Linked DNA regions of Canis lupus familiaris. The protein of the gene in region 3 interacts with the protein of the main gene of each other region in a pairwise test. Links are inferred from orthologs where the notes say so. Each region holds a gene or a part of one and is shown on either strand. Other genes may lie near its edges. The genes, in order: MAB21L3, C14H1orf35, STAC3, PPARA, L3MBTL2, ZCCHC10 and FAM133A.

Evidence for each region.
Region 1: the proteins of STAC3 (region 3) and MAB21L3 interact in binary tests that used the Homo sapiens proteins (3 or more experiments, as listed by UniProt). The two-hybrid records come from large-scale screens. The link is inferred for Canis lupus familiaris from reciprocal best matches to the Homo sapiens genes STAC3 and MAB21L3.
Region 2: the proteins of STAC3 (region 3) and C14H1orf35 interact in binary tests that used the Homo sapiens proteins (3 or more experiments, as listed by UniProt). The two-hybrid records come from large-scale screens. The link is inferred for Canis lupus familiaris from reciprocal best matches to the Homo sapiens genes STAC3 and C1orf35.
Region 4: the proteins of STAC3 (region 3) and PPARA interact in a two-hybrid assay, tested with the Homo sapiens proteins (2 studies listed by BioGRID). The two-hybrid records come from large-scale screens. The link is inferred for Canis lupus familiaris from reciprocal best matches to the Homo sapiens genes STAC3 and PPARA.
Region 5: the proteins of STAC3 (region 3) and L3MBTL2 interact in binary tests that used the Homo sapiens proteins (3 or more experiments, as listed by UniProt). The two-hybrid records come from large-scale screens. The link is inferred for Canis lupus familiaris from reciprocal best matches to the Homo sapiens genes STAC3 and L3MBTL2.
Region 6: the proteins of STAC3 (region 3) and ZCCHC10 interact in binary tests that used the Homo sapiens proteins (3 or more experiments, as listed by UniProt). The two-hybrid records come from large-scale screens. The link is inferred for Canis lupus familiaris from reciprocal best matches to the Homo sapiens genes STAC3 and ZCCHC10.
Region 7: the proteins of STAC3 (region 3) and FAM133A interact in binary tests that used the Homo sapiens proteins (3 or more experiments, as listed by UniProt). The two-hybrid records come from large-scale screens. The link is inferred for Canis lupus familiaris from reciprocal best matches to the Homo sapiens genes STAC3 and FAM133A.

Annotation. Positions count from the first base shown.
Region 1 is NC_049238.1:54,109,715-54,113,668, reverse strand, and holds the start of MAB21L3 (protein mab-21-like 3), read right to left. Parts: upstream 2,801-3,954; 5' UTR 2,013-2,800; exon of another isoform or gene 1,473-2,012; 5' UTR 1,275-1,472; coding exon 1,227-1,274; intron 1-1,226.
Region 2 is NC_049235.1:508,279-512,279, forward strand, and holds C14H1orf35 (multiple myeloma tumor-associated protein 2), read left to right. Parts: upstream 1-1,223; 5' UTR 1,224-1,317; coding exon 1,318-1,411; intron 1,412-1,655; coding exon 1,656-1,806; intron 1,807-1,921; coding exon 1,922-1,967; intron 1,968-2,041; coding exon 2,042-2,124; intron 2,125-2,229; coding exon of another isoform or gene 2,230-2,302; intron 2,303-2,413; coding exon 2,414-2,502; intron 2,503-2,749; coding exon 2,750-2,884; intron 2,885-2,970; coding exon 2,971-3,251; 3' UTR 3,252-3,501; downstream 3,502-4,001.
Region 3 is NC_049231.1:1,728,874-1,732,808, forward strand, and holds the start of STAC3 (SH3 and cysteine-rich domain-containing protein 3), read right to left. Parts: upstream 2,801-3,935; 5' UTR 2,620-2,800; intron 1,994-2,619; exon of another isoform or gene 1,919-1,993; 5' UTR 1,918-1,918; coding exon 1,852-1,917; intron 1,579-1,851; coding exon 1,314-1,578; intron 399-1,313; coding exon 301-398; intron 86-300; coding exon 13-85; intron 1-12. Other genes in the region: R3HDM2 (R3H domain-containing protein 2), read right to left, coding at 3,700-3,822. UniProt on the Homo sapiens protein: Required for normal excitation-contraction coupling in skeletal muscle and for normal muscle contraction in response to membrane depolarization. Required for normal Ca(2+) release from the sarcplasmic reticulum, which ultimately leads to muscle contraction.
Region 4 is NC_049231.1:20,888,656-20,892,143, reverse strand, and holds the end of PPARA (peroxisome proliferator-activated receptor alpha), read left to right. Parts: coding exon 1-238; intron 239-2,376; coding exon 2,377-2,624; 3' UTR 2,625-2,988; downstream 2,989-3,488. UniProt on the Homo sapiens protein: Ligand-activated transcription factor. Key regulator of lipid metabolism. Activated by the endogenous ligand 1-palmitoyl-2-oleoyl-sn-glycerol-3-phosphocholine (16:0/18:1-GPC). Activated by oleylethanolamide, a naturally occurring lipid that regulates satiety.
Region 5 is NC_049231.1:24,975,246-24,979,300, forward strand, and holds the start of L3MBTL2 (lethal(3)malignant brain tumor-like protein 2), read right to left. Parts: upstream 2,801-4,055; 5' UTR 2,670-2,800; coding exon 2,646-2,669; intron 837-2,645; coding exon 593-836; intron 1-592. UniProt on the Homo sapiens protein: Putative Polycomb group (PcG) protein. PcG proteins maintain the transcriptionally repressive state of genes, probably via a modification of chromatin, rendering it heritably changed in its expressibility.
Region 6 is NC_049232.1:21,261,205-21,264,704, reverse strand, and holds part of ZCCHC10 (zinc finger CCHC domain-containing protein 10), read left to right. Parts: intron 1-1,128; coding exon 1,129-1,203; intron 1,204-1,848; coding exon 1,849-2,116; 3' UTR 2,117-3,500.
Region 7 is NC_049260.1:69,566,840-69,570,339, reverse strand, and holds part of FAM133A (protein FAM133A), read right to left. Parts: intron 408-3,500; 5' UTR 308-407; coding exon 1-307.

The DNA.
Region 1 (3,954 bases), on a different chromosome or scaffold from region 3:
CACACATGAGAGGGAGAGTGGAAGGGGGTGGATGTCAAACCCAGGAGTGCTGTGGCTCCCAGAGAACCCGTGAGCACACTCTCTGTTGAACAAACAGCCCCAGCCCACAGTTGCCAGGCAAGAAACTGGGACCTGTGGCTGTCAGGTATTCTGATGTTTCCCTTTTTCCAGAAGATGAAACTCTAGATTTCTATGCAAGATCCCACTATTTTGAAATGTTTGTAACAAATTTGAAGCAATTTAAAAATATTCTGCAGGCCAAAGAAAACCTGTGCACAGGCTGGTTCAATGTGTAGAGCACTGTTAAGAATCTCTGCTATTGGAGATGCAGGGAAACATCATGGAAAGATAAAGTATTACTTGGATGCCAGACTGAAAAACGTGGACTTTTTTCTTTCAGAAAACACAAGTCCATGGGGAAAATGCCTGGCAGCCTCCCTTTATTCCTTTAGAATAGCCCCCAAAAGGGAAAATACGGGACGTCACTTTGTTGGCTATAATTTTTATTATTGTAAGTGTCCCCTATTTATCTAAGTGGTTTGCTTAAGAAATCAACTTTATTTATCACTGTGATAATGAACTCTACTTTGTTTACTTGGGAAGGCGTGTCCCTAAAACTTAGACAAATCCCTAACCTTAGTTTTTAGTTTTACAGGTGGCTCTGGGCCTTAATAGCTTCATCAGTAAATGGAAAGCCTTAATTAAGTGAGATCATATTTAAGGGGCCTTCAAGTTGTAACGTTCCAAGAGTCTCTGCCTCTCTACAGAAGAAATTCAGTTAACTGTTAATTGATGTGATAAATATGATATCTATTTTTAAATCGAGCAGTTTTAGAGTTTCTGAAAGGCATTCTTAATCCCATTTACTCTTTTTCTAAGGCCCTATTATCACCCCCATTTTACAGAGAAGAAAGCTGAAGCTCTGGCAGGTTAAGTGCCTTGTTCGTGACAATACCCAGTATCAGGGGCAGAGCCAGAGTTCCAACCCACGTTCTAACTTTCTGTTCCCGTTTAACTTTCTATACCCAACGTGCCTCTGGCACTTAGAACCTTAGAGAGAAGACGAAAATAAGATAAGTCCCTAAATACTCTTATGAGTGATGGTCTTGGGTTCCTGAGGAGCATTTCATGTATCTTTGGAAGCAGCCTGACATCCCTTCTGAATCCAGGCTGGTGGAGTGGGAGGGAGCCAGGTGGGAACGTGGGAGAGCAGTACTTGTCCTTACCTTATTCAGGAGGCATTCTTCCAAGTCTCCTGCAGTTGGGGATTTCATGACTTCTTGGTCAGTCCCCAGTGGAGCAGCAACGTCTTGGTTTGTCCGTCAGTGGAGGACAGTACTTGCAGGTTGGTTTCCCAAGAACGTTAGTCTCGGTGCTAAATTTCTTTGAGGATGTATACATGGACCAGAGACTGGTCTTTCCAATTCTTCCCTCCAGCTCTCATTTCCAAATCGGGAGCATCCAACTGTCATCTTTCAGGAAATTTTTTTTTAAAAAAGGAATTTAAAAAGGAGAGTTGATGGAATTGAAACTGAATTGGAGTCCAACCTAATAGGACTCGATTAAGCTCTATTGTCGGGTGCTTTGACCGAAGGGCAATATTCCAAGTTGTATTTCCCATTCAAATATTTAAAAGCTCCATTTGAGATAGAAACGCTCTGTAGTTGGCTTCTTCTCCACCTTTTTAAGCTCTTGTCTTAATGCTAGATGCATCCTGGAGCCCAGTATCTTATATCTCCTTGTTCTTATCCTGTTGACAGTAAATATTCCTTGCCCTCCAATCCAGAAAATCCCGCAGATTGATTTACCTTCTTTACCATAAACAAATAGGGAACTGCCAAACAACCAGTCAGGCACTCGTCATTCTGCCTGAAAACAAGCAGGTCCAGGTCTCATCAACCAAATCAGGGCACAATAATTTGCATGTGGAAAAGCGCGCACACACACACACACACATGCACACACACACAGGCATATCCAGAAAGGGCAGGACCAGGGACCCTTCTCCTCACCTGCTGAACTTTAAACATAATTTACCTCTTCCTGCTTGAAAGCTGGCAGTAAAAATAAAGTCAGTGTAAACAGGCCCCTTGAGAGTCAAGGAAACACTCTTGTCTGGTTTTGCCAGCAAAACCATGTTGGAAAACAGCTCAGGCAGTAAATTCCCAGTCTGGCTGGCTGGGGCTAGTTTTATTACAGAAAAAAAAAAAAAAAAAAAAAAAAAAAAAATTCACAATGGCCTGATCTCCCTGACGCTGGTAAACATCAGAGACTGCTATCAGATGATCTAAAGAAATTACAGCGCTTCTGGGAGCCCAGCTCACTTCTGGGCAATGCTCTGAGTAAATGCCTTTCCAAACCCACCTCTGAGAGCTCAGCAACGGTGTTGGTTCCCCGGGCCACTCAGCTCTCTGTAACCACAGTATTTGCATATCTCCCCGCTCTGCCCGGACTAAAAGCCTCATCTGAGCCACACCAGAGCTCCCTGCTCCACCCACCTCATTAATCCCAGCGTTCACGCCAGCTTCTATAGGTCCCTTTTGTGCAATATTGTCGTATATTGAAATATTCTATGTAAATATTGTAAAGCTACCCTTCCACAAAACTGCCTTGATTTTCCATTTTCTTCTCTTTGTAATTCAGAGTTTCCTTCATTTGATATCAGATGCTCCCAAACATTTCAGAATCTTCTCTTGACCTAACCACTCGTCAGTTTTTCACAAACAGAACATGAGGCTGCCTCTCTGAATTTCCGACAACTCAGGATTTCCTCTCCACCTTCTTTTCGGCTTCATCAAAGTCCTCCTGGTTTCTCCCATGAGCTCTTGTTTTTGTCTTTACTTCTGCTTCATTACAATCATTAACTTGGGATCCCCTGTCCTCTGGTGGGCCTCTCTTACGGTTCTAATTTTTCCCCAGATGCCTATCAACCAGATGCACAAATTTGCATCGTTCTCTACCTGTGGCTGCCCTACTTGCTCCAGCGTGGCCACAAATCAGAATGTTGAAACTGCATTTCTCTCACTAGGGCTCAGTGATGCTTCCCAGATGTGAACCAGGAGAACAACCAGTAGGCCAACTGTAGAGCCTGGGAGAAGGAAGAAGTCTGTGTTCCAGCCTCATTTTACCTGGACGTCATACCTGGCAAACAAGGGGTTATATAAGCACAACCTGTTCCTTACTCTCTGATAGAGTTTTCCATGGCAAAGCTTCCAATATATAGGGCAGTTCAACAGTGCAGACCCTCTGACAGATTGGCAAAGAGGACCCTTCTTTGTAGATAGAGATCTCTGGCTAAGTGGCTTTTGGATTAGCAAATATTTATTGAGCAACAGTCTGCCTAAGGCACTATGCTGGGCCACAGAGAAAGATTCAAAGTTAACTCAGATTCTCCTCCTTTCTTGGGAAATAAATATCCTCATTTCTCATGACTCATGCCAAATGCAAGTATGAACATGCAAACCAGCTTTGGCTCAATTTCTATTCTGAGGACCAAGGAGTTATTTTTTAAAGTCAGTTTAGCAAGGTATTCAAAACCCTAAACCAACAATAGGAAAGTCCTAGGAAGACAATGTCACTCCTGATTTACCAACAGAAGTGTTTGCTATTGATTTACCTAATGGCTGCAATTTTCATTCCAAGAAGGGTTGGCTTGATCCAAATCAATCTTAAATACACAAATTTGTTACAGTTCACCAAGATTACAAACTCTGATGTATTTTTCAAAAACTTCCTTTAATCCTACGGTGACTCAAAGCTGACAGCTCCGAGGACCAGATAGAGACAATTGTCCATGCTCTGAGGAAGCCCCCAGCAGTGAAGAAGGCGGTGACTCTATCTGTTCTGTATCCCCACTATGGTCCAGTACCTAACACATAATTGACGTTCAATAGTGGTGAAAATTTGATTGCATTATAGATGAAATGATATTCTCAAATATAAGATATTTGGAGA
Region 2 (4,001 bases), on a different chromosome or scaffold from region 3:
AACCTGTGGTCGGCTGCCATTCTTCTGCTCCAGTGGTGGGTTTCAGCCTGGCCAGGCTTCTGCAAGACCAAAAGGCCAAGTCCCAACATTTCCACTTGTCGCTGGCCTGGCCCAGGCCTGCCTCTTGCCCTGGCCTGGGCTGTCAGGACTCTTGGAAACCTGAGTGAGTGCCCACCGTAGGGCACTGATACAAAAGGTGGGGAAGGTGCCCACGTTCTATGGGAGGGGGCTGTGTCTGGGCTCCTGGCGAAGGGTGCTGCATTAAGCACCCACCTTTGGACTCCTAAGTCCCTGGTGGTCCACTGAGTTTCCTGGCCACGCGCAGGGTCCTGGGAACATCCAACGGCATTGTCTGCCCTTCCCTTGAAGTGGGGTCACAGCAACGATGCAGGGGTCAACAGCAGAGCAGAGGGTGAGCGGGGCAGGGACAAGTGGGACTTGTAGCCACAAGGCAGGGTGGGTGCTGGTGACGGAAATCACTAAGAGGGCCCCCCCCCGCCCCAGGCAGGGGGTTCTGGCAGAAACCACCTACTGAGATTGCTGCTGGTGGGCCTGGCAAGACCTCCACTAACGCACGGGCACCTGCTTAGCTTCTGAAGGGGGCCGGAGGTGGCAGGCTCTTCACCACAGCGGGTGACACGGTGAAGTGGACGGAAGGCCCAGGCCCGTCTGCAGCGCTCTGGTCAGTGGAGGTCCCATCTGCACCAGGTGTTCCTGTGTGTGGGCCCCCGACCCCCGCTCCGCAGGACCTCGCCGCCGCCCACGTGGGGGGCTTCACACACTGTCCATGCCGCTGCTCCCCCGTGTCCAGGGCTCGGAGCTGATCCTGCTTTGCCCAGCACAGCCGCCCCCCGCGGCGCCAGAGGAGCCCGTGCATTGGCGCACCTGCGCCGTCCCGCCTGCCCTCCACGCTGGGGTCTCCAGGGGACGGCCCCGGGAGTTGCAGGCCGTGTCCCGCTTCTCCGGAGCCGAGCCGCCCCCGGTGCCCGCTCCCGGCACTGCGGCCCCACCCGCTCGCCCATCTCCCGGCACAGCCCCAGGACCGTCGCCCGCACAATGTGGCTCCCAACGCCGGCAGGATCCTCGGGACCCGCCTTGGCGCCTACGCCCGCTCCCTTCCCGGGCGGTGCGCCTAGCGCTGGGGGCAGGCGGGGCGGCGGGGCCGGGGAGCAATGCGCAGGCGCTTGCGGCGCTGCCCGGGTATGCGCGAGTGTGACGTCAAGGCGCGCGACGCGGCGGCGGGACCCCGGCGCCGGCGCCGCCCGGGGCGGCCAGGCCAGGGTTGACGGAGGCAGGGGCGGCGGGCGGCCTGGCACCATGTTCGGCTCCAGCCGGGGCGGCGTGCGTGGCGGGCAGGACCAGTTCAGCTGGGAGGACGTGAAGACCGACAAACAGAGAGAGAACTACCTGGGTCAGTGCGGCGCCGGGCCCGGGGGCGGGGGGGGCGGGGGCGGGGGGGCGGGGGAGGACGCCCGAGCTGCCGTGCGCGGTGCCGCAGGTGCGGGAAAGCGGGGTTGCGAGGTTCTCGGTGTGGGCAGCCGGGGGCGCGGGGGCGGGGAAGGAGAGGGCGCGAGGTGCGGGAAAGGGGGGCTGCGGGCGTGGGAAGGCGGGGAGCGGCGACCAGCGGGCCGAGCAGTCGCGCTGCGTCCCCGCAGGCAACTCGCTGATGGCCCCCGTGGGCCGCTGGCAGAAGGGCCGAGACCTCACTTGGTACGCCAAGGGCCGGGCGGACGGCGCGGGACTGAGCCGGGAGGAGGAGCTGGCGGCCGTGCGGCAGGCGGAGCAGGAGGCACTCATGGCGGCGCTGTGAGTGGGCCCCGCGGGGTCGGGGGAGCTCGGGGGGCCCGGGGGCGAGGCGGGGTCCGAGGGGCAAGGCCAGGGACTCCGGCCGCCGCCTGAAGCTCGCCCGCGGCCCCCACAGAGGCTACAAGAACGTGAGGAAGCAGCCCACTGGCCTGAGCAAGGAGGTGAGCGGCGCACGGGGGGCGGGGCGCCCGGAGTCTGTGCGAACCCCCGCCTGAGACCCGCTGGCTCCGCACAGGACTTTGTGGAGGTCTGCAAGCGAGAAGGAGGGGAGCATGAGGAGAAGGGAGTGGACCGGCTGCTGGGCCTAGGGAGCTCCAGGTGCGTGGCTGGGGGGTGGAAGGGGCCCTCCCCAGGTGGACGCACCGCCCCGCCGAGGGAGGCCTGGGCCTTCTCACCGTGGGGTCCTCGCCTGCCTTCCCGCAGCGGCTCTGCAGGCCGAGTGGCACTGTCCCGGGAAGACAAGGAGGCCGCCAAGCTGGGGCTGTCGGTGTTCACGGTAAACCCCCCTCTGCGGGCGGGGCACCCCAGAATCGGGCGGGCGCCGAAACTGGGACGCCCCCCCACAGCCCCCTAGAGTGCCTTCCTTCCTTGCTCCTTCCCTCCCCAGCACCACCGCGTGGAGAGCAGCCGCCCAGGGGCCTCCCCCACCTCTGCTAGGAAGAAGCCTCGGTTTGAGGAGGAGAAGGTGCAGCCTGGGTAAGGGCTGCTCCCACCCCTTGGTCCCAGGCCCACCTGCTGGGCTCCCCCAAGGGGGAGGCAAGGTGCACTCCCACCCCTGCTTTTCCTCCCTGGATGGGGAAGCAGGGCGCCTTCCTACCTCTGCTGCTCCTGGCAGTTTCCTGCCACAACGGGAAGGAAGGACCGCTGTACCCACTGGCCACAGGGAGGGGGGGGTGTGTCTGTGTGGACAGTGCACAGGGGACGCCACCCCACGTCCCTGCAGCCTGGAGAGCCACAGGAAGAGCAGGAAAGAGAAGAAGAAGAAGAAGAAGAGGAAGAAGAAGCACAAGAAAGAGAAGAAGAAAGACAAGGCACACAGGAGCAGGGTGGCTTCTCCACTGTCTCCAGCTCCTGCAAGGTAGGTGTGCTCAGCCTTGCCGGGGCAGAGGGAAGGTCTGGGGAGCAGGGCAGCCTCCCCCTGACCACATGTCCCCATATCCCCAGGCCGGGGCACCACCAGTGCGGCTCTGACTCTGAAGATTCCTTGCCCTGCTCCAAGAGGCGACGCAGCCACCACAGTGACTGAGGCCAGATCACAAGGGGCCCCCATGTCCAGCAGGGGACCTGCCCCGGGAGGACACACTTGCCTGGGAAGGCCCCGAGACACTTCTATTTTTCTTCAACTCACTTTGTACTTAAATAAACTTATTTTAAGGGGAAAGCCTCTCATCCTTGAGGGAAGGTGGCTGTCATGTCCCAGTAAAGTTCCAGCAAGACCAGCCTGAGACCCTGCTGGTAGGGCGGGGAGGGGGGGGGGGGGCGGGCTCTCCCTGGGTTACCATGTCCAACCCCAGGGCACAGACGTGCACCTGGAGCCAGCAGTGTGCCCCACCCCTGGGAGGTGAGCACCTAGTCATTAAACCCTCCTATTACAGCCTGCCTGCAGGGAGGATGAAACCCAGGGTGCACTCATGATTGTGAAACTGGCATCTTTGGCTTTAAGTCATCAAACTAAAAACGATTCTGTCTTCATAACCCTGGCCCTGGTGTTTCAACCTGGTAGTGGTATAAACAATCTTGGGCGGGGGCCAGACTGGGCGCCCCCAGCCAGGAGAAGGAACCAGACCAGCATGCCCAGTCAGGTGGGAGGGATGGTCTCCAGCCAAAGAGCCACTAGGAGCCCTGCCAGGGGTTTCCTACCCCTCAGGAGCAGGCTGGCTAGCAGGGATGGGCGTGGACAAGAGCAGGCCTCGGGCACACCCAGTGTGGTGACCCTGCTGTCCCTCCACGTCCCAGTCCCACAGAATAGACCAGGGGCTGCACTAACAGTCAGCGGGTGGACGATGAGAGGGCGCTGGGTCATATGCACACCTAACACAGGGAGCAGTGAGCCACACCATGTAGGTCCCTAGCCAGTGACATCCTCTGTGCACAGTGGTAAGTGTGGGTCAGTGGCACCCAAGCACTGGAAAGCCATGAAATAGTTAAGAGATTTTATTCTAGTAGCTATAATTACAGTGCTTGTTTGTCGAAAT
Region 3 (3,935 bases):
TGGAGCACTTACAGAGATCTTTGACACAAGCGTACTGCTGGTTGCTGTAGAGTGGGGAGCTATAGGCCCGGTGGAAACCAGGGGGCTGTAGGGTGGGATGGGAGAAAGCATTAGAGACAGCAAGCTATGGCCCAGAACCCCATCTCTCCCATGAGTAAACCCCTTCTTGGGGTAAGAGATGGGCTGAGAAAGAAAAAGCAGGGAAATGGATATGACGACTTGGGAGGGACGGAGGGACTGCAAGGGGGGAGCTGGCAACACGTCCCCTCCCTTCCTTCTCGCTCCCCAGAGCCTACTCACGATCTTGCCGAAGCATCTCTGCATCTCCACATAGGACTGACAGTGCTCGTGGATGTTAGTTTTGCAGTTCTTACAGCGAAGCCCAAATTTGTTGTTGACTTGGGAAAAGCAAGAACATTTGGGTCAAGTTCTCCATTGCCCCTTCCTTTTTGTACCAGTGCTGCTACTCTAGCTCTCAGGTCCCTTTTTGGTCTAGGACCACATTCTCGGGTTTTTTTGTTTCTTTTTAAATATTTATTTATTCATGAGAGACAGAGAGAGAGAGAGAGAGAGAGAGAGGCAGAGACAGAGACAGAGGGAGAGGGGGAGGGAGAGGGAAAAGCAGGCTCCATGTAGTAAGCCCCCTGTGGGACTCAATCTGGAGACTCCAGGATCATGCCTGAGCCAAAGGCAGACAGATGCTCAACTGCTAAGCCACCCAGGGGGTCCCACACTCTCTTTCTAATGGTGTTGATTTTTTATTTTTATTTTTATTTTATTTTTTTGGTGTTGATTTTTTATTTTTTTTTTTAATTTTTTTTTATTTATTTATGATAGTCACAGAGAGAGAGAGAGAGAGGCAGAGACATAGGCAGAGGGAGAAGCAGGCTCCATGCACCGGGAGCCCGACGTGGGATTCGATCCCGGGTCTCCAGGATCGCGCCCTGGGCCAAAGGCAGGCGCTAAACCGCTGCGCCACCCAGGGATCCCTGGTGTTGATTTTTTAAAGATTACTTTTTTATTTGACAGAGAGAGAGCGCGCACGCAAGAGAGGGAGGAGCAGAGGGAGAGGGACTCTCCCCCTCAAGACCTGAGATCATGATCGGAGCTGAAATCAAGAGTTGGACGCTTAGCTTAGCCGGCTGAGCCATGGCTAAGCCACCCCTGAGCCACCCGGGTGCCCCTCTGCTAGCGTTTTCTTAAAGCTGCCTCTTGCTCCAGTCTGCCTGCTATACAAATGCGCCTCTCCTGAGCCCATTCCCCCACCTCCTGCCTTCAACATTACACTCTCTCTACTTCCCTTCGTGACTCACGCACAATCATCCGGGCACAGACATCACAGAACTTGGGCTTCTTGAAGAAATGATCTTTGAATTTGTGAGGCTTATCATTGACAAGCTTAGGAGGTTCTGGGGGTGGCTCTTCCTCCTCTTCTTCCTCCTCCTCTTCCTCATAGATGTAGTAGATGGGCCCACCCCCAGCTCCCACTGCCTCCCCATTGGCCTGGGGCTCTGGGGGAAGCTCCATCTCCTTTGTCCCGGGAGACTCCTTCCTGAATAACTGCTTCAGCCGCTGTAGCTGAGGGTGGAAGGGGATGGGGGAAGGGAGGAAACCCAAAGTTAAAAGATCTGTCATGCTCTCCAGAGCAGGTAAGGCTGACTACTAACTACACATTTTTCCAGTGTGGGCAAGGGGCACACCCCAGGATTAGGAGGTATTGGGGGATGCAGGTGCTGGCTAGCATTCTGACAACGGATCAGTCACATACAAGTGAGATTAATTCAAGCATTCTTGAAGGGCCGCAGTGGCTTCCCAGCTCCCCATACCCAGTGGTCACAGGCCCAGACTCACCCCACTTTGCCGAGTCTCTGCTGGGAAGGAGGGCTTAGAGGACTCCAGCACCTCCTTTTCTGTCATCCTGCAAGAGGTTGGACCCCACTATGAAATCTAATCCCTGACTGCTGTTCTTCCTGTCCTTCACTGTAGGGTGGTTCTTGAAAGGGAGATTTTAGGAGAAATTTGCTTAAACAGAAATCCTTTTACATAGGCTTATCGACAGATTCCATGGAGGTCCAGGGAAAAGCACAGCCGACTAAAGAACTTCCCAACCAGCTCCTGATATCCATCCTTCCCCACTGAGGGGCAACCCAAGTTGACAGCCCCAACACTGTTCAAAGCTGCATGGCTTAGAGATTTTCCTGGTTTCTCCTGGGAATTTGTGGGCAAGAGGGATGTGACACACACCTTCCCAGATCCCTTTTCTTCAAGAGGTTTAATGTGTCCAGAAGCATGCTTGGAGGGATGGGCTGGGAACATCTGTTCACCCATACCCCTTTCTTGAGTCCCGGGGGCCCAGGGCCTAGTTCCCAGCCTGCCTGTCCTCAGCTATTTTAAGTTTTCAGAGTAATATGAGCCTTTCTTTCCCTTACTACTCCATTCCCTTGACCCCACCTCCACCCCACCCTCCAATCCTAGCTCTTGTCCTGGAATAATAATTTCACTCCTAAAACCCCAACTACTCACAAGCAAGAGAGAAACGAAGACATTGAATAGGCTACAGATTGGGGAAGCTGCAGGGAGCAGTTCTGGCAATGGACAGAGGACGAAGAGGCAACTTACGTTTGGGATTCCCTAAGTCAGCCCACAGTCTGTGGAGGGAAGAGGGAGCCCCTGGGGTCTTGATGGTGGTGCTGGGGGAGGACTGGTCCTCTTCCTTGGGGGCTAAGCCCCCCCAGTACCCTCTGTACTCACACCGGCTACCCAGACGTTATTTGTAGACCTCCTAGTCTCTCGCCTTGGTGTCACAGCTGAAATGACAGGGCTGGAGGAAAGTGGACAGCTGAGCGACACAGCTGACACAGAGAAATTGGACACGGGGAGGCCTGGGCTGGGCTGGACCCTAACTCCTCCCATCCCCCAGAGCTGCTATGCCCTGGTTTTTTTTATCTATGGTGTACAGGTCAGTTTTGGCTAAATTTAAGAAGGGACAGTGTCTGTTCATGTTGCATACTTCATTTAGGTGATTTTGGATGACTGAAGATAAAGATGAAATTGTAAACAGTTTTCCCCAAGGTCCAAATACATCTCCAATTCTACCTTCCCTGGACCTACTTTAGAAACTAGCTTTTGATTTTTCAGCCATTGGCTTCTTGTGGCCATGTGTTTTTACACCCTCAAGCACTCATCTAGCTTCAAACCTTTAGGAAGGAAAGAATTTGAATTCTCAGAGGTTTCCTATCAGCCAGACTAGACTGCATCCTTATCCAATAGTGGTGGGAGGGGTACCCTGCTCCGTCCTGAAAGGTAGTGAGGAACATGCATAGTACTGCTTTATTCCCTCCAGTACCCCAGGAACATCTTCCCTCCATTCTAAAATCTTGTCCTCAGGGTGAAGGGAAATCTAAGAACTACTGAAAAAATCCAGGCTGGGACTTCCATCTGAGGGGCTCTGGGGGATTGCGGGTCTGATGGTCAGGTAGGTAGAGATGGTCTTGTTCAGACTGGACAGAAGGCCATAGCTACCACACAGGGCGGGTTTTATCTTCAGTAAGTAACGTCTGCTTCCCCATGAGGATTGCAAACTTTTGGAGATAGGATAGCTGAGCCCCACACTTCGAAATCATTTTGATTCCCTGATTCCATCTCCCTCATCTGATGCCCCAGTATATGAACTTATGGGTCAATGAGATATCTGGCATCTTATCTCGCAGGGATGCAGCCTTCTCCTACTCTGGGCTGTGACATGGCTGAAAGAGAAGATACTCCCATCTCGGAGGACAGCCATTTGGATGTGGTCATGTAGTGCTGCTTTATCCCTTGTATCTGTAAGAAGTAAAGGATTATGTTGGAGGCTGGGTCAGACAAGCCTCAGAGGAGCCTGGCTAGAGATACTGCTACCCACACCCAAGAGATTTCCAGGGTAATGTGCTTTGTCA
Region 4 (3,488 bases), about 19 Mb from region 3:
CTACTGAAATATGGAGTGTATGAGGCCATATTTGCGATGCTGTCTTCTGTGATGAATAAAGACGGGATGCTGGTAGCCTATGGAAATGGCTTTATAACTCGTGAGTTCCTAAAGAGCCTAAGGAAACCGTTCTGTGATATCATGGAACCAAAGTTTGATTTTGCGATGAAGTTCAATGCACTGGAGCTAGATGACAGCGACATCTCCCTTTTTGTGGCTGCTATCATTTGCTGTGGAGGTAAGTCGTTGACGTAACCCAGCGCCGTGTCACCTGCAGCCTCTTGGTGCACACGTGCATCATGCACAGTGGAGCATGCGCTGGCAGATGGGAGGGCGTCTATGCCCCTACATCGCCGCCGATTGGAATTCAGTGAGATTTATATCCTATCATATCACATAACAGCATACATTATTATATATAAACACATAGTTGTGCAGTAAATGAATATGTCCCATTCATAATTATGTTGTATATGTAATATTCTATTTGTAATCATAATATAATCATATCAAACATAATATATTAGGTGTAATGGTAATATAGTTTTATCTAATATATTTAATATATATTAGAAAGAATTATGTTACAATGTACAGTGTATCATGTTACTGTTATATAATTCTATTATTATAGTGTTATATCCGTATTATAGGCAGTATTCTATAAAGGGCCGTACAGATGTTAGTGCAGTTTATTTCACCATTGGTATATTTATTCCATTTCATAATGAAAAATATCAGTAGCTCACTGGCAGTGTTTGCAGTTTGCTTTGCCAAAGGAAATGGATCCCAGTGAAGGAAAATCTGGGCCTCTCTGCAAGGAAGCTGGCTCTGCAGCTCCCAGAATTTTGGCTCAGTGTCATGTTCCTTTAAATAACCCTGTCCTGGTATAAGAAGGTCATCCCTATACCGTAAACTCAGCTGACCTCACCCAGCCCCCAGGGAGGCCAAGGGGGGTGACCACCGACCACTGCCGCAAACTGCCAGAAGCTGTACTGTCCTGCACGGTTTGCTGACTTGCAGGGCTGAGGCTGGCCACAGACGCCCAGACGCTGGAAGCCCCACAAGGCCTGTTCCTGTTACTGTTCAGCTGCCCCCAGTCAGGTGGAGGGAGTCCTTCTGCTCTGGCAAAAAATGTAAAATGCAAAAACAGTTGTACATAATCTACATTGTCCTTTGTATGCTCGAGATGTAGTGCTGTGAGTAAAAAGCAAGCGCACAACCATTTATAGGTAGTACGAGCAGAGTTTTCTAAAAGAAGTTATAATCGCTTATCAATCCCGGGGCGCCCGGTCAGCTCAGTCAGTTAAGCATGTGACTCTTGATTTCAGCTCAGGTCATGATCTCAAGGTCGTGAGATCCAGCCCCACATTGGGCCCTGCACTGAGTGGGGAGTCTCACCGCACATGTTCTCCATTTCTCTCTCTCTCAAAAAAAAAAATCATATATCAATCCTATGTACAGAAAAGTGTCTGGTGTGGTATACCTTAAACCTTACGAGGGGAATTCACTTTGTTTTTTTAATCTCTCCTTTTAAAAAGTTAGTAATTATATTCATTTTACAACCCCAGAAAAAGCAATGAAAAAGTCCACATCCTTAGCAGCACTTTTAACAACCCTAGTAAGGAGTGGGGCCTTAAAGAGAGCACTGCCTATTGGATGGCAGTGGGGACAGGGAATACTCTAGACCAAAGACCCGTGTGCCCAGGACGTGTGCATTCCTCTGTCCCAGGAGGTCTGGTGCCTGCGGTTGAGCTGCCCCAGGGAGGGCGTGTGGTGTACACGTTGAACTGCCTGCACCGGATCTCAGGCATTCCTGGGGCTCGTCAGCACCCCATCGAGGTAGCATCTACCACTCACATCTCACTCCACTGTCTATGCAGCAGATTCATATTGGAAGATTCCTAGCATCTGTTCCCCTAACGAGTGCTTTTTACCACAAAACCCAGTCTAACGCAATCCTTAAAACAGTGGTGGAGAACTTAAAACTGAATATCTAGTTTTGATTCAAGATGTATTTCATTTCATATTATACAAAACTGGTTGTTTTAATCGTCATCAGAATGTCTGATTACTCCTATGTTTTGGGTTTTTTCCCCTAATTGGTGGTCATCAAGGAAATCCAAAATGAAAGGGCCATGGTGTAGGATAGCTGGTCGACTTAAGGGAGTACAAAAATACTTAGGATCGAGTATTTGTCCTGTCTGCGCATTAGGCCCAGTGACTTTGGAAGAATCGAGGTCTGTCTTCCCGCCGAGTCAACGTTATTGGAAGGCAGTGTAAGAGTAAGAATGTTTGGTCTCCCGAACCCATAAACAGTTAGGAGGTGTCCGTGGGAGGTTTATCACAACCGTCTCTTATTTCTTTTGAGAATAGATCGCCCCGGCCTTCTAAACGTGGGACACATTGAAAAAATGCAGGAGGGCATTGTGCATGTGCTCAAACTTCACCTGCAGACCAACCACCCGGACAACATCTTTCTCTTCCCAAAACTCCTTCAAAAAATGGCAGACCTCCGGCAGCTGGTCACCGAGCACGCACAGCTGGTGCAGGTCATCAAAAAGACGGAGTCGGACGCAGCCCTGCACCCCCTGCTGCAGGAAATCTACAGGGACATGTACTGACGGCTTGAGAGCGAACCGCACGACAAGCAGCTCTTCGAGGACTTTTAAAGTCGACAGCACTACAAATGAAAACTGGGAGCAATGCCTGCTTTGCACAAATTCCACCATTTTCACCTTAGAGAATGGGACGGATGAGCCCTAGGTAACCGGAAACCTAGACCACATTTCTTTCTTTTTCACATCAGTACTTGTAAGAGCGTGCCAAGTGTCGAAACGCCGGTGACAGGTAGCTGATAGGCAGTTCTTGGAAAATTAAGGGGAATGATGCCCAGCAGTCTGATTTTAACTCACTTGATGTTAATCCATGCAGATTTCTTTATATCACATTAGCCGTGTAGCCTTGAATTAACTGGTGACCTTGAAATACGTGGTCTGTCTTCTCTTTCTGCCACCTGTTGACTCTTGCGCTCCTTTGTATCGTTTTGGAAACTAATCAGCACTTTTTAACTTTTATAATCCTGTAAATCTAGATGAATCCAAAGGTTAGGTTATTTTTTAAAAGCAGCAAAATATTTATTGGGGAGACTTTAATTCTGTTTCCTGAATTTGAAGAAAGACAACATGCTGTTTCTTTTTTTTTTTTTTTTAACATGCTGTTTCTTAATCAGAGGATTTGAAATTTCCAAGGATTATTTGATAAGCTATCCAAATGCAACAGTCGGTCGGTTTTCACTGTGTTGGGGGTTGTGACTTAATAGGCAGGAGGGCCTGTTTCTAGGTTTGTCTAGAAGATCCCAGAAAACTGAGTCTCAAGACTCCCCCCCCCCCCCCCCCCGGACTTGACGCTCTGCTTGTTTTCTCCAGCTGGTGTCTGTGGTCCCGTGGTCAGCAGGAGCAAGACAAACGGAGACTGTGTCAGCTCTC
Region 5 (4,055 bases), about 23 Mb from region 3:
CCCCAGGAAGTCACTTGATTCTTTAATTTCCACCCTTCTTTAATTTCCCCCCTCACGTCCAACCCACAAACTATTTCTTGTCCTTTCCCAGATAGTAAATCAGAGCATAGGCTTAAGGGCAGCCCTGGTGGCACAGCGGTTTAGCGCCGCCTGCAGGCCGGGGTGTGATTCTGGAGACCCGGGATCGAGTCCCATGTTGGGCTCCCTGCATGGAGCCTGCTTCTCTCTCTGCCTCTGTCTTTCATGAATAAATAAAAAAGAAAACAAAACAAAAGCCATCCAGGCTTAAAAATCAAGCACCTATTCACACAAATGTAAAAGCAGTACCATATTAATGACTGGCATCTAACGTGTGCCAAATAAGTATTAGTCGTATGAAAGAACAAAGGAAATAGTCATTTGAAATCAGACTGCAGCAAAGGAAATTAGTAGTAGTCCCTTGGGGCTACTTCTGTCTAGTTCATAGGCCCTTAGACTTAAGATCAAACAGCTTTTTTTACACCTGGATGGCTCTGCCCACATGGCCTATATTCCCCTCTTCCTCTATAGCCTCCTGAAACCTCCCCGTCTTCAGGGGACACTCTGAAAGCACCTGGCTCAGAACCACTGCCATCCAAGGAGCGGGGAGTCCCAGGACTGAGCAAATGCAGCGGGGAGGTGGGCAGCTCCCCTGCTTCCCGATCTTCATTTTCTGCTTCACTTGACTCCTCTAGATAGGAGCTGCTCTCACTGCCCGCACTGCTGTTATAGCTCCGGAAACTGTCATAGCCACCAAAGAGCTCCAAGTCGTCCTCCTCTTCCTCTTCCTCTTCCATAGGTTCTGAAGATGGAGTCTCCTAGTGGAAGGATGACACAAACCAGGCTGGAGGAATCAGGTCTAGCTTAGTGTATGGGGAAGAAGGATGCAGGTCAGCTACCAGCATCTTTTCCAGGTCTTGGTCAACACCTTTGGACCAAGTGGCAGGCAGAATCAAATATCCCTTTTGCAAACACCAGGATCATTACTCCTGTTTATATAGTTCTTAACTGAAACTCATCAGGATAGTTTAACAAAACAGGTAATATCAGGAATTCACCAAGCTCCTCCTGTGTATTTATAAATGATGATGTTTTAACTTGATTCAAATAGAATACGATGATGTGAAAATACTCTGTTATCTCATGAAGACTTTCTGGGGGAAGATGTATGTTAGAAAATCAACTTCCCCCCTTCAGCATATGTACATCAACACAGTGTCAATTCGGAAACCATTTCAGCCACAGAAAAGTCAATTTGGGACGCGGATCCTACCCTGAGGAGGATCTAGGAGACAGAGGACACACTAGTTATCGCACAGTGTATGTATGTACCATAGCTCTGGACTCTGCTCCAATCCTAACTAGCTGTGGGTCTTTGGGCAAGTCATTTAACTCCTCTGGGCCTCAACTTTTTGATCTGTGAAATAAGTAGCTCACAGGATGTGAAATGTAAATGAGATACTGTCTATCAATCCACCTGGAAGGAATGTAGTAGAAAAGGTCCTAGGCCAGGGCTCAAATACCATCTCTACCGCTGACCAGCTGTATGATCTGCAGCAAGTCAGTCTCTTGGTGCATCAGTTCCCACCTCTGTAAATGAGGAAACTACCTCCTTCAGAAGCTTTGCGGGAGAAATAAGAGTGAATATAAGTGTTGTACTCAAAACAGTGCCTTGCAAGTATTCAAGACATACTGGCAATTATTTCTGGGTAAAAGCATGGGGCTTTTCAACCAGATTTGCCTGAATCCTGGCTCTACCACTCAATTGTGATTTTGTGCAACATACTGAGCCTGTTTCTTCAGTTTCTTCATCAGTACAAGAGAGGTAACAGCAGGCCTTCTTCAGATAACTCGAATGAAGACTGAGATGTGTAAAGCCTAGTTGTTTCTAGCCATTAGGGAGGGCTGTAAACGCGTGAGTGCTTATTCTCCTTTACCCTTTACAGTTTGGGGGCTATTCCATTTTCAGGTTTACAACTACGTCCCCAAATGTGCTAAAGAAGAGACCGAATTTAAATACAAGGTGACCAGAAGCCAAGTGACCCAGGGGTGAGTGGGTTACAGGTTGCAGGAGAGTGGGAAAGGCTGGGGAGCCTGAACGACTGGGTGCCCATCTCCTTCCCGCTGCGGTTGGGTGGCCCTCCTGGGGGGCACCATCTGGCTGTAAGCGTCGGCTACTCCAACCATAACAACGAAACAGTGACACAGGATTGTTGTGAGTATCCCGGGCGATAATGCCCGTGAACGCTCCAGACACGCAGTGGCAGGAAACTTGAATCTCCCTCACGTCCCACCAGGATGTCACAGGCCTCCTGATCCCCAAAGAAACGACCAGAGAGAGGGAGGACAAAGAAGATCCAGGAGCTCCCAGATCCTGAACCCAGTTCCCGTTCCCGCAGGCCAGGGAGGCTGTTCCGCCCCGACCTACTCGCGGGACGTCGGCCCCAGCGGTGTGGGCGCAAAAGGCAACGCCAATCGCCTCTGGCCCTGCTCAGCCTAACTACCTCAGTTTATCCATCCTTCCACTCTCCACCCTCCAGGCGTCGCCCCAAGGCCTCGAGAACGGCCCCCCGTGCGAGGCTCAAGGGCTTCCCTTTCCCGGTCACGATAAATCCTCCCCCTCTCACCTCGACGCCCCGCGTCTTCTCCATGAGACCTAACACCCGTTTCTTCAACCGTCACCAGGTGCAGGAAGCCATATTGGCCTCGCGGCTCTTCCTGAGCGCAGTCATTGGCCGCCTCCCAGAGCCGCGGGCCAATCACGTTGCAGGAAAAAGGAAAAGCCGGTTCCGCGCTCGCCCGCGCCCCAGCCCCGGGGGGGGCGGGGAAGCCGCGGGTACTTGTGGGACTTGTAGTTCCCCTGTGGGTGCGCGTGGAAGGGTGCGTTGCTATAGCGATGTGAAAATCCCTGCGGCACTGCGGCAGACCTCGTTTCTCTGCGCTAACCTCCACCTCTCAGCCCTACTCCGTTCTTTAGCAAACAATTCTTGAGCACGTACGATAGGTGCTGTTCTAGGCACCAGGAATGACAGATTAGAAGAATTTTAAGGTGCCCTTGGGCCAGGACGACTTGCAAAGAAACGCATTTCCAATTCCGGCAGAAAGCGGATTGCTCTTATGCCCAGTGCTATAAATGCCTCACATGCTCCAAATCCTGTAACATTGTCCCTCCATCATCATCCCCTGAATAAAACCTCGAGTATGAGGCACTCTGCCTCCCTCATTTTGGATGTCTCACAACCTCCTTGAACACTCAGTTCTAGGTGCTCTGGTGGAGCTTTTTACACAACAGCTCAAATCTGGAGACAGCCCATCACCCTATTAAAGATGAATCTGTGGCTCTTTGGAATTGGGATTTAAGGTTGGAATTGGAACCTAAGAATTGGAATTTAAGGTTTAGTCCAGGTTCTTTCCCTGTGCTATGCGGTGCTCTAATGAATTAGGAATCTAAATGTAAAAAAAAAAAAAAAAAAAAAAAAAAAAGAATCTAAATGTAGGGGCGCCTGACTGGCGCAGTCAGAGGATCTTGAGGCACTTGATCTTAGGATCATTGGTTGGAGCTCCACTGAGTGTAGAGATTTTTAAAAAATAAACTGAAAAAAAATAGACAAAAGAAAAAAAAAGAATCTAAATGTAATAAATGGAGGCTGAATATATGTTAAAAATATTTCTAAATTTGAGGTCCACCACATAGATGTGAAAGTCTTTGATTTTTCTTTTCTTTAACTCCTTCTGCCACCAACCCCATATTCATGCTATCAACCAGTATTGTTGGTTCTACAGCCAAAATGTATCCTGAATTCCTCCTCCACTATCACCCTCATGGAAGCCACCAGTCCAGCACAATAGGCCTCAAACAGGTCCCTGTTTGACTTTTCACTTTCTTTAATACAGGTGATCTTTTAAATCATAAGCCAGATCATGTTCATCCCCTTGCTTAAAACCTCCATTAGCTTCCCCCTGCACTTTCAAAAAAATTCAAACATTCCATAAGCCCCTGAATGACCTGGCCCCAGTTTTCTCTTCAACCAGCTGCT
Region 6 (3,500 bases), on a different chromosome or scaffold from region 3:
GGGTCATCAACATTCATATATAATTTTTCCAAAAATAAATTTATGTTAGTACTTTCCTGCTCATCCTCCTTTTCTACTTCCCTTTTCTTCATGTATAAAAATTTAGACATTTTTGAAATACTGGTGTTTGTACTAAGAAAGTAGATAGCTCTAATTATTGGGAATAAATTCTTTTGTAATTTTTTTCCCAGCAAAATTGAAGAAAGACCTAATTGAGCTACCAATTTAAAAGTATTTTTTAGGGGTGACTGGGTGGCTCAGTCAATTAAGCATCCAGCTCTTGATTTTGGCTCAGGTCATGATCTCAAGATCATGAGATCAAGCCCTGCATTGGGCTCCATAAAAGGTATAGGGCCTGCTTAAGATTCTCTCTCTCCCTCTCCCTCTCACCCTCCCCCCCAATAATAAATAATAAATAAAAGTATTTTTTTAAGATATTATTTATTTACTTTATCATGAGAGACCCAGAAAGAAAAGCAGAGACATAGGCAGATGGAGAAGCAGGCTCCATGCAGGGAACCTGATGTGGGAGTCGATCCCGGGACTCCAGGATCATGCCCTGGGCCCGAAGGTAGGCGCTAAACCTCTGAGCCACCCAGGGATCCCCAATAAAACTATTTTTTAATGATTCATCTTTGTGACTTGTGGACCACATCATCGGAGATATTCAAACAGTGACATCACTACAACAATACTCTATTTCCATCTATCTATTTAGGGTAAGAAGGTTTCTTAGGGTTAAATCTATAAATGTTAAATACAGGAATTGAATTAATGCTGAACATTGTCACAATCTAGCAGTAAGATCCAGAGATACATGAGCTAGAAAAACAATCGATGCATTTCAAATAAATTTACTTTGATGTGTGATAATTATTAAAATGTGTAATGTATTCCTATATTATTTTAATCAATTACATAGTAATATTAGTAATGGCAACTCAATTCAGAATTTTATTTTTTAGAAAGGGAGTAAGAGAGGGGCAGAGGGAGAGGGAGAGGCAGGTTATAACAAGAATTACTGGGCTCCGTACATGCCACAAAAGACAGAGTGTTTCTCCAGTGAAAGACAGTTTGGGGGATAGCTGAAGGGTTTATATGAACTGTGTATAATCACTTTATTAACAGGAGCTTCCCCCTCTCTCCCTTCATGTTTATCAGCATCGGAGAAACTAATGTAGAAAGGAAGACCAAGAAAAAAAGGTATGTGTGGCTTTAGGAGTATTATGTGGATAATAAATAATACTAGTGAGAGGAATGGGAAGAATGCTTTAAAAATAATTGTGATAAAGTTTGGATCTGAAGTCTCTTGTTTGTCATTCCTGATTAAGTATCATCCTTATTTCATGATCTGTTCCTCTCTTTACCCAACTGGACCTTTCTGCCTTCACTTTTTTTTCTCCAGCTTTCCAGAGGCTTTCTCCCTGGAAATAGTAAATAATTTCTCTTAAAAATCTCCTATATTAGAATAGGAAATATTATTAGACTGGTAAGAAATTGTTGACCAGCTATATCTGATTCAAAGTAAAGATGTTGAAACACCATGCTACCTGAGGTTTAAGAAAGCCCAGTTGTTCCACTGCAACTTTATTCTAACATTATTCTTCCTGGATCATAGTACAGTAGGAGTACTTATCTTGAATTCTGTCCAAGATAGTTAAAGTGCCAAAGTAAAGGACATTGTGGTTGCCACGGGATTTCTACAGTTATGCAATCCCCAGCGCTTCGGGTCTAGTGATTCCATGCTAGCAGAGCTTCAGTGTATGTAATCGCTTCCCCATGAAATTGCTCTCCAACAATCTGTTAGGTGTCAGCTTCCTGTGCGTGTAACTCCTCACTGTCTACTAGGTCTAAGAGTGTAACCAGTTCCAGCAGCAGTAGCAGCGACAGTTCAGCCAGTGATTCTTCATCAGAGAGTGAAGAAACGTCTACCTCATCCTCCTCAGAGGACAGCGACACTGATGAAAGCTCCTCCAGTTCCTCATCTTCATCCTCCTCCACAAGCTCTTCCTCGTCCTCTGATTCAGACTCAGATTCCAGCTCTTCCAGTAGCAGCAGCACCAGCACAGAGAGCAGCTCTGAGGATGAACCACCAAAGAAGAAGAAAAAGAAATAGAACGCCATCTCTCTTGTACTGCTGGACTCAAAAAATTAATGTGACTTTCGAAAGGGGTATTTAGACTACATTAAGGCCATATAGGGTAACCAGTCAAAATTACTGGAGTTCAAAAATTTCTAAATGTTTTACATCAGAAGAGCATAAAGAGTATTAATGGATTATATATAAGACTTTTTTTATTTTAAGAGTAAATCTTGTTTTTCTTTTTTATTTTTAATATATATCTCTAAAACTTAATCAAAGCTGAATCCAGTAAATCTGTTTTGGGGATGAGACTTATCTTTTCTCCCTGTGAGATAATTGCCATCCTTTGTTATATGTTAGTGCTATGTACCAGACATATTTTCAGGATAATGCATCAGAATATCTGGCAGTGAATTTCTTTTTTTTTTTTTTTTTGGCAGTGAATTTCTAATGCTTTTGGCTGTGTGTTATTATATAAGATTTAATACATTGTTACTATAAAATTAGAAGTGTTCCTCTTAAAAATTGTGCCCTATTTTTATGTTTATGTTCAGAAAGTTATTCTGACTTCTTGTCCTAAATGAAAAGCTCAAGGAACCTGTTATTATATTTATACCTTTTGGATGGTACAAATGTCAAGTTATTGTGTTATATCATCCATTTTCTTCTGGCTCTTAGAGTTACTCTTTTTTTTTTTTTTTTTTTTTTTTTAAGTTCGTGCTGGGCTCGAACTCACAACCCTGTGATCAAGACTTGAGCTGAGATCAAGAGTCAAATGCTTAACTGAATGAGCCACCCAGGTATCCTGTAAAGTTACTCTTTTTCTGAGGAAAATCAATCAGAAGAACCTAAAAAGGAACCAAAATTCTGAAACTACTTAGGAGTCTAATCTTGGTGCCTTTTGATAAATTCTGTGTATTAGAAAAGAGTCATTTAAAAGCCTAACTTAAGGAAAAGTGATACAAGTATCTTTGTGTTGTTATGCTATAAAAGGTAGGAGAGGAAAAAATAGGTACAAAGGTAATTTTAACAGAGAATTAGGGCAATGTTGGTTGCCTTTTATTAAGTTTTTCTAAGCTTTCATAAGGATTGCCTTTTACCATTTTTGCAATTGTGGTATAAGTTTATATGGCAGCTGGTCATATATGACATTCTACTGCATAAATATGAATGACTTGGACTAATCTGGTGTGTTTACATAGCATATACACAGTTGAAGTGTAGCATGAAAGATTAAAAAGAAATATTGCACAATGTTTCTTAAAATACTCTGCTGTGGTGAAATTATTTTGTTTCGCATGACATCATTCTGTGATGTCTTTTAAGCTCTTTGGAAAGAGTTATCATTTGTAGAAAAATCTTGATTCGGGCTAAATATGGGTTTTTAAAACTATGAATGTTGTCTTTTTTATATTTT
Region 7 (3,500 bases), on a different chromosome or scaffold from region 3:
GACAAGATTTCTTCTTTTTCTTTTTCTTTTTTCCCCTTTTCTTAGAAGACCTCTCATTTCCACTCAATAATTTCTCTCTGCTTTTTTCTAATTCTTTTTTCCAATTCTCATTCATTTTTTCTTCAAATTCAGCTAATGCCTTGGAGCCTTTCTTTTTATTTTCTAATTGTTTCTTCACTTCTTCCCAGGTAGGCCTTGGCCGATTCAGATAATCTTGTATTGTTGGGCCTGTAGACTGAGTTGGGCCCCTCCATCTGGCCATTGCTATAGGATTCATATAGGCCACTCGATTATCCCGCTTCCCCATTGTGCCTACTGGTTCCAAGAGAAGACTCTCAATGCTAAGAAGAATAAAGATAAACCCTTCTTTGGTTCTTCACCTGCTGATATATCAAGCAGGCCCCATTCTGTTAGGGAAGCAGAAGGAAATGGTTATAAAACACCTTTAATATATATACAGCAAAGACATTGGTTTAATTGTTCACTATCATATAGTACAGTAGAAATTTTTAAAATTTTAGACCTTGGGAACAAAGAATATAGACATTTAAGACTTTTGCATACTTTAGATATTGTGGTATGAATATAACAATGGATTTTATATACCCCATATAAGGTTCTGACTTATCTAAATTTTAAATAAATACTTCCTTTTATATTATATGATATTTTTCTTTCCTTCATTTGGCCTTATACAGTATAAAAAGATAAATTTCTATAGCTAAATTCTATGTGAGGCAGATCTCCTCCAATTTAAAAAAGTCCGCTCTGACAGAAACCTAGGAATCATACCTGAAAAATTCTCTCCCTCAATCTCACATCTAATCCATTAGTATAACTGCTTTTTAAGACTTCACAATAGGTTCCATACACATTCACTTCTCTCCAAATATATTGTCATCAATTTAGTCCAGGTACTATCATCTCTCACTTGGATTATTAATCTCTAGTATTGATTAAATGTTATTATCTGCCAGGGACTGCTTAGTGTTTTGCAGTGGATTATCTTATTCAATCTCTAGACTAATCCTATGAGGTTGATTCTATTATTATTTCTATTTCACAGTTGAATAAACTGGTCTTAGAGAATTTGACTAATTTGCATAAAGTAGCAGTTAATAAATGTCCAAATTAGGATTTAAACCAAAGCAGCCGGACTCCAAGCCCTGAACACCTAACATAACACTCTATTATCTCTTTACATCAGCCTCTTAATTGATAACCTTCTTTTTTAAAATTTTTTTTATTAATAATAAATTTACTTTTTATTGGTGTTCAATTTGCCAACATACAGAATAACACCCAGTGCTCATCCCGTCAAGTGCCCCCTCTCAGTGCCCATCACCGACTCACCCCCACTCCCCGCCCTCCTCCCCTTCCACCACCCCTAGGTCGTTTCCCAGAGTTAGGAGTCTTTATGTTCTGTCTCCCTTTCTGATATTTCCTACCCATTTCTTCTCCCTTCCCTTCTATTCCCTTTCACTATTATTTATATTCCCCAAACGAATGAGAACATATAATGTTTCTCCTTCTCCGATTGACTTATTTCACTTAGCATAATACCCTCCAGTTCCATCCACATTGAAGCAAATGGCGGGTATTTGTCATTTCTAATGATAACCTTGTTTCTACCCTTACTCTCTTTCATTCCAGCCCCACACTACCATCAGTAGGTCTTAAAACACTACAGTGGCCTTATATTTTAATGAAAATCAAATTCAAACTCCTATAAAAGTCCTATAAGATCTGTCCTGCTTCTCTCTCTTACTTTAATCACTCCTTTTCTCAATTCTATGTTCTCATATATTTCCTTGGTTTATGGAATATGAGAAGCTCCAAGCTTAGTCATCATGTCTAGTGCTACCCCATACTTCAGGTCTCAATTTATTTATATATTTATTTTTATTTATATATTTATTATTAGAAAGGGGGGAAGGTCAGAGGAAGAGAGAGAGGGAGAATCTTAAGCAGGCTCCATGCCAGCAGAGTCCAACGTGGGGTTTGAGGTCCCAACACTGAGATCATGACTTAACTAAAATTAAGAGTTGGATACTTAACCAACTGAGCCACCCAGGTGCCCAGGTCTTAGCTTAATGGTCAATTCCTCTGAAAGGAAACTATTAGTTTAGACTACATAAAATTGCCAATTATATGGACAGACACAGTCATATACCAGCAACTTCATATGTATCCACCTTATATTAAAGTATGTTGCCTTTGAATCTACCCTTCATATATATTATTCTGTATCACAGAGCCTTGTGTCTTTTATTCACATCACTTAGAAAACTGGTGATTATTTTATTTGATTGTGTGTGTGTGTGTGTGTGTGTGTGTGTGTGTGTATCCATTACTAATGACAAGGCTGAGAAAAATAAAGGTCATGTTTAATCTGTCTTATTCACCATGGTGTTTCTAGTATCTAGCATGCCCTGCGGCTCATATTAAATAGTCAATAAGTATTGGTTCAGTAGTAACAAACAAATGAATGGATAGATGGGTGTATGGCTCTGAGAGAAAGGAGGATTCAGGGCAGCTTCCTAGAGATGGTGATGTCTGCACAGGATTTTATTTTATTTTTTTTAAATTTTTTATTGGAGTTCAATTTGCCAGCAGATAGCATAATCTCATCCCGCCAAGTGCTCATCCTGTGAAGTGCTGCCCTCAGTGTCCATCACCCAGTCACCAAAACCCCCAACGCACCTGCTCTTCCACTACCCCTTGTTCATTTCAGAGTTAGCTGTCTCTCATGTTTTGTCACCCTCACTGATATTTTCACTCGTTTTCTCTCCTTTCCCTTTATTCCCTTTCACTAACTTTTATATTTCCCAAATGAATGAGACCATATAATGTTTGTCTTTCTCCGACTGACTCACTTCACTCAGCATAATACTCTCCAGTTCCATCCACATCGAAGCAAATGGTGGGTATTTGTTGTTCCTAAAGGCTGAGTAATATTCCATTGTGTGTGTGTGTGTGTGTGTGTGTGTGTATATATATATATATATATATATATATATATACACACACACATCTTCTTTACCCATTCATCTTTCGATGGACACATGGACACCAAGGCTCCTTCCACAGTTTGGCTATTGTGGACATTTTTGCTATAAACATTGGGATGCAGGTGTCCTGGCGTTTCACTGCATCTGTAACTTGGGGTAGGTAAATCCCCAGAAGTGCAATTAGTGGGTCATAGGGCAGTTCTATTTTTAACTCTTTGAGGAACCTCCACAAAGTTTTCCAGCATGGCTGTAACCAACTCACATTCCCACCAACAGTGCAAGAGGGTTCCCCTTCTCCACATCCTCTCCAACATTTGTGGTTTCCTGCCTTGTTAATTTTCCCCATTCTCACTGGTGTGAGGTGGTATATCTCATTGTGGTTTTGATTTGTATTTCCCTGATGGCAAGTGATACGGAGCATTTTCTCATGTGCTTCTGGGCCATGTCTATGTCTTCCTCTGTGCAATTTCTGTTCATGTCTTTTTCCCA